Saccharomyces cerevisiae S288C: one gene and its partner. The protein of the gene in region 2 interacts with the protein of the main gene of each other region in a pairwise test. Each region holds a gene or a part of one and is shown on either strand. Other genes may lie near its edges.

Region 1 (3,450 bases), on a different chromosome or scaffold from region 2:
AAGGACCAAGAAAAGGAAGAGCGTTTAAAAAGTAACGGTAAAAATATGGAGTGGTTCTATGAAAAATTTTTGGGTAATATCTTCTAGATGCCTTTTTAATCAAAGCCTTAGGGCAACATGAAACTATATTCATCCAATCAAAAAAATGAGCACAAGAATTTCTCTTTGATCATTTTTCTTTTACCTTTAATAACAATCGTTATCAACATTTTTTATTTCCAGTCCTACCACAGCATTATTGCATAATTAATTTACAGGAAGATTTTCTTGAAAAAATAGAAAGAAAAATACCCATTTTTTCAAGGAAAATAAAATTTATATATTACATACATTTCTATAAAACAGTTTAAATTCAAAAATATAAACAAAAACATAAAAATAAGAAAAGTTCAAGTCTTCGTTATTTTCTGTTTGTGGAGTAATCGATCTTATTAACATATATGTGGAGACTTTTCAAATATAGCCACCTGCAACATGGAACCATAGTGTACAGGTATCACTTAATCCTCCAAATCATCTAATTCAAAGTCCGATGTGGAGAGTAGCTCGGCAGTAGCCACAACGTTTTGTTTGGAGGCTCTCATATTAATGACCCATATAGTAGAACTAACGATAACTGCCATACCGCACCACGTCCATATGTTTGGCCAGTGGTGAAAGAGCACGACATCCCAGAAAACAGCATATATAACTTGAGTATAAGTCATTAACGAACCCCTTCCTGCACGCTCCCTCTGGATTCCCATTGTTAACAGAATTTGGTGAATGAATCCAGAAATACCCAAGTTCAGAAATAGCCCCCACTGCTTCCACGAATGAGGCAGTTGTAAAGACATCGAGGGAATTAGAAGCACACCGAGGGCTGCCACAACAGTAGTAACCAACGAGAAATAACTGACACTCATGATGGCATGTGCCTTGTTACCGATATATCTTATGATAATGTAAACACTACTCAATCCGCAAACCCCCAATAAACTCACCCCGATAGCAATGAGTCTTAATTTGGGATTTTGAGTCTCAACAATATCGTCTTGTGGAGATTGCTGGCCTTGGGTCTGCTCACCAAACAAAAATGTAGGTCTAATAATTAACACCACTCCAGAAAATGAAATTAGGGACCCCAAGGCTTCAAGTTTACTAAATGGCTCACCCAGCAGTAAAAATGAAAGGAAAATGGTTAGGGTTGGCGACATGAAGGTGATTAAGACAGCGTCACTTATACTTAGATACATTAAAGAAAAGTACATTCCAAAAACACCAAAAAAACCCATTATACCTCGGAGTATCAACCATTTCCTGCATGGTGCTGGGCCCCATGGAATATCTGGAACACTTTGTTTATTCCAATGCATGTATACTAGCGTACAACAGTACGTGATAGACATCCTTACTAGCAGGATTTGCAGAGGATTAATTCTTGATTGCGAAGTTTCCAGTGGGTCATTTTCTAGGACTTTGGTAGAAACTACCATAGAAGAATTGAAAAAATAAGACACTATAAGTAAGATAAGTCCATAATTAGGCTTTAGATAATCTTTACTAATTCTTTGCAGCGTCATTGAGAGAGGAGGTGTTTATTCTACTTTTCTGTTGGGGCAGCTTTCGTGAATGTAATAATGAGATAATTTTCCCTGTCTCCTTTGTTTTTTTTTCCAGATGACTCAATTAGTGACTAAAGAAAAGGATGCCATATGGAAGACAGATATCTATAAAAAAAAAAAATGCTATAAATACTTTTTAAACTCAACTACAAAAGCGAAAATGTTTACCTTCTTTTGGAAGGTTTAGTAGTCGTATCTCTTTCAATGATTCCGCCTGTATCCTCCAGACGCTCTTCCTCAAGGGTCACCTGATCTCTTCTTTCCCACCAACGGTCTTCACATAACTCAAATGACTTCGTCTTTAACTGTTTACCCTTAAGGTTTCTGTTGTTAGAAATAGACCAGGTTAAGAAATTTGCACCTTCCCTTAAGTAGAATGCTCTTAAAGTTTCGAACGGTTTTGGGTGTGGTAGCCAAGACCTTTCGTCTGGAATCTCCATCTGCGCTTGTTTGTCATCGTCGCTCTCGCTTTCCTCATCTTCATCACCTTCAAGGGGTCCTGCATCTTGTTCCTCTTCGCCGTCGTCCTCATCCTCCTCATCGTCCTCGTATTCAAACTCATCTTCGTCCGAATCTCTATCACCTAGTCTCTTTGCTTCTTCGATGGCAGATAGGTCTTCCCAGTAAACCTTGACACCATCCAACTTGTTCAAATCTATACTATAAAATGAGTTTATAGGATAATCTTTTTCGCCCAGTTCCCAGACACCACTGTAAATGAACAACGAGTCGCCCACTACACAAGTTGCTGCGTTAAATCTTGGGTGAGGTAATTGATTTGAGATGGTAATATCTTCTTGGTTGTCCAAATCACTGTCATCTTCGTTATCTTCGTCGTCATCGATAGAGTTAGGACCCGTTGTGCTGTTGTCATCATTGTCATCGTCGTCGTCATTTAGATTAGACTTGGCCAGAATGGAATTTAGTAAATCCTGCAGTTCCTTTTCTTGATCTTTATTAGATTTTCTTTTACTTGTGGCGGGTGAATTTTTACTATTCGTTTGACGCTGAGGTTTAATTCTAAGTTTAGACCATTTGTTCAACTCTAGGTGGAACATATATAGGTCGTTATAGAAAACGGACTCTAAGGATTCCTCTGTCTCTTGTAAATCGTAGACACCACCAAAAGCAACGGACTTGTTTTGCTTCCATAGATTGAACGAATACCCGACTCTTGGTGAGGGCTGGTTCTTGAAATTCTTTAATTTTTCCCACTGCCACTTCTTTGGATCAGGCGTTAAGTTCAGTTTCCATGCATCATTCAAGATTTTTCCCTTCATTAAATTTTTATTATTTTTGGCAATGATTTTACAGTAACCACCCATTAATATGGCAGAATTATCTGTAGGAATGAAACAATGACCCGATCTAGCGTCAGGTTTGCTGTTTGTCTCCAATTTGGTCCATTTGTAGGTTGAGATATCAAAACACCACAAATCATTTAGGTAAGAAGTTTGACCATTCCCCAAATCTCTAAATCCACCAAATAATATGAAATAGTTTTTCCAAGCAATAATTCTATGACCTGATCTGGCGCTGGGTGAAGAGTCTCTACCGCCAAACTCCAACTTAGTGAATTTCCTTTCAACGCAGTCAAACAGCCATGTATCAGAATAGTGGTAGAATTTAGATTGTTTTGGGGACGAAAATTCACCACCGTGTAACAGTGCTATTCCGGAAGGATGCACAGCGACAGCGGCACTGGATCTGGGCAAAGGTGCATTTTGCGAAACGTATTTTTTCCAAGAGTTGTTCTTTATGGAGTATGAATACAAATCATTATAGAAATGTGTTAGTTTGGTTTCTGGATCTGTAAATTCACCACCGAAAATGAACAATTCATGTT
Region 2 (3,240 bases):
CAACAGCATAACGCTAGAGGGGCAAGAAGGAAGAACTTAAAATAATAGGTGTAAAATGACTTTGGCTTTTAATATGCAACGGTTGGTGTTTCGTAATTTGAATGTTGGGAAGCGCATGTTCAAGAACGTCCCCTTATGGAGGTTTAATGTCGCCAATAAATTAGGAAAGCCCTTAACTCGCTCTGTAGGGTTAGGCGGTGCTGGCATAGTTGCTGGTGGCTTTTACTTGATGAATCGCCAGCCTTCTAAGTTGATATTCAATGATTCTTTAGGGGCAGCTGTCAAACAACAGGGTCCCTTGGAACCAACTGTGGGCAACAGTACGGCAATTACCGAGGAAAGGAGGAACAAAATAAGTAGTCACAAGCAGATGTTTTTGGGATCATTATTCGGTGTTGTTTTAGGAGTTACGGTGGCTAAGATATCAATTTTGTTTATGTATGTCGGTATTACAAGCATGCTTCTTTGTGAATGGTTACGGTACAAGGGATGGATTCGCATTAATTTGAAAAATATCAAATCTGTAATTGTTTTGAAAGATGTAGACTTGAAGAAACTGCTTATTGATGGGTTATTGGGTACAGAATACATGGGTTTTAAAGTATTCTTTACATTGAGTTTCGTATTAGCAAGTTTAAATGCTAACAAATGAGCAAGACAAATGACCAGATATAAACGAGGGTTATATTCTTTCGTTTTATACTTTTTTATTTTTGGTATTTCATTTATCCTATACAGTAAATATACATAGGGCTAAGGAAGAAAAAAAAATCACGTCGAATATAAACCTAATTGTGTTCTATATTGCGGACATATATTTTTCGTAGATTGAAAAGTTCTTAAACGTAATTTTTTTGACGACCAGTGAAGAGGAATTGAATAAGTAGAACTTGGGCAATACTTATAACGGCAATGATAATGATAATCAATATAGATAACCAAGTCAACCTTGATTCGGTGGAATTGACGGTAGACATGTTTCTCCATTCTCTGGCTCTCAAATAGTTCAAAGTCTTCGTGATTTTGTTCAAGTTTCTATCTATTTCCTCCACGGCGTTATTGGCAATAATGTCATCGTTATTGACATCAGCTTCATGCTCGTCAGTCAAAGTTTTTTCCTTTTCTAGTGTAATTTCTACCTTTTTCAACGCTGTACCATAGTTATTGGAAAAACAAAAGGTATACTTCCCCACTCCAAACGATTTTAATAAAAAGTCTGAGTACTTCTTTTGTTTCTCACTAGTAATCACAGATCCATCAGGAGCAGTAATATCAAAATCAATCTCAAAATTACCACCGGTTAGAACTTGGTAACCCACAGCCAGGGAATCATCCTCAGTAACCATATCGTAGTACAGGCATTCTTTGCTGAATGCTGGTAAACTGATAGCAACTGGTGCATAACTGGAAGATGCAGCCACTGAATTGACCAACGCCAAAATTAAAACAATGAAGAAAGAGGGTAGAGCAATTGTAGATTTGATCATGGTTTTCCTTTACAATGAGTGTACTCCACTGTTTATCTTATTCTAGTTTGGGTCACCTGATGCAGAATTGGCGGTGTCGATCCCTAAGGTTAATGAATCGAAATCACTGGAGATTTTGTTAGTTTTTCATTTTAACTAGTTCAAGTTTTGGCAGAATGTACTTTTTCGTGTTTCGGGACACGTCGCTGAAAAGGATTGAAATATAACCAAACGCCATCATGTAAGGTGCAGTGAACATTAGCGCTAAGAGGATTGAGGATTGCTTTATGAAAGTTTATGAACATTTTCTTGAATTAAATAAATAAGTCTGAAAACACTTGAATTCGAGATGCTGTAGCAATTTGTAATATTATTTAAAGTTCACAGAGTGGCTTCCTTGGCGGATCTGAAAAATAGGTAGTGATTTAAGGCTATATAATATTAGATACACAAAACATACCAGAAATTTTCCTCGAAGACCAGCAGAAGGGAACCAATATCACGACATTAAAATATTGTTATCTCTTTTTATTCAGTGCTTGTATTTCAGCTTCCATTGAAAACGATGACTGTCTTCTCAATCTTCATGTCGAGCCCTCACACTGTACATGATAATATACTAGTACCATGAAAACTAGTCGATAGATGATAATTGATTTTTATTTGAAATAGAATCTTTAATGATCACAGTGGATCTTTTAAAAACTTGGTGAGATAGTGCTAGTGATCCGTAGTCTAAATGAGTTACGTACGAAAGGGAGCCAAAAGCAATCTGACCAATTTGTATATATATACATCTATCCGAAAAGGAAGACATCAATTAGTACGGGCGTGTGGTCTAGTGGTATGATTCTCGCTTTGGGCGACTTCCTGATTAAACAGGAAGACAAAGCATGCGAGAGGCCCTGGGTTCAATTCCCAGCTCGCCCCGAATAATTTTTTTTTGCCTATCTATAAAATTAAAGTAGCAGTACTTCAACCATTAGTGTTAGCGATAATCAAGAAGTGAAACTCTTTCTCTATTTTTTTTTTAATTGAAAAATTTCCTTTCTCTATAGCGTATAGAATATATGTTACATGTATATATATATATAAAGTAAAAACGTTCGGAAAATTCCTCATTATACCCAGATCATTAAAAGACATTTTCGTTATTATCAATTGCCGCACCAATTGGCTTAATCAACTTCTTCAACGGTTGGACCTTCAGCCTCTGGAGCTGGAGGAGCACCACCTGGGAAACCGCCTGGAGCACCACCTGCAGCGCCACCTGGAGCACCACCAGCTTGGTACAACTTAGACATGATTGGGTTGGCAATGTCTTGCAACTCCTTCAACTTGTCATCGAATTCTTCCTTGCTGGCAGTGGTGTTGCTGTCTAACCAAGAAATAGTCTCTTCAGCCTTCTTGGTGACGGTGTCCTTGTCAGCTTGTTCCAATTTGTCACCAGCTTCAGAAATGGTGTTCTTCAAAGAGTAAGCAATGGATTCCAATTGGTTCTTGGAAGCAATTCTTTGAGATTCCTTTTCATCTTCTTCCTTGAATTTTTCGGCTTCAGCAACCATCTTTTCGATATCTTCCTTGGACAATCTACCCTTGTCGTTGGTAATAGTGATCTTGTTAGACTTACCAGTACCCTTTTCGACGGCGGAAACATTCAAAATACCGTTAGAGTCGACATCGAAAGTGACTTCAATTTGTGGGACACCTCTTGGAGCTGGTGGAATACCACTCAATTCGAACTTACCCAACAAGTTGTTGTCCTTAGTCTTGG

The links.
Region 1: the proteins of ERP2 (region 2) and YPL264C interact in a protein complementation assay, tested with the Saccharomyces cerevisiae proteins (one large-scale study listed by BioGRID).

What each region holds. Positions count from the first base shown.
Region 1 is NC_001148.4:42,783-46,232, forward strand, and holds YPL264C (uncharacterized protein), read right to left. Parts: upstream 1,563-3,450; coding exon 501-1,562; downstream 1-500. Other genes in the region: DIP5 (dicarboxylic amino acid permease), read left to right, coding at 1-87; KEL3 (Kel3p), read right to left, coding at 1,769-3,450.
Region 2 is NC_001133.9:136,859-140,098, forward strand, and holds ERP2 (Erp2p), read right to left. Parts: upstream 1,488-3,240; coding exon 840-1,487; downstream 1-839. Other genes in the region: FUN14 (Fun14p), read left to right, coding at 56-652; Hsp70 family ATPase SSA1, read right to left, coding at 2,645-3,240. UniProt on the Saccharomyces cerevisiae protein: Involved in vesicular protein trafficking.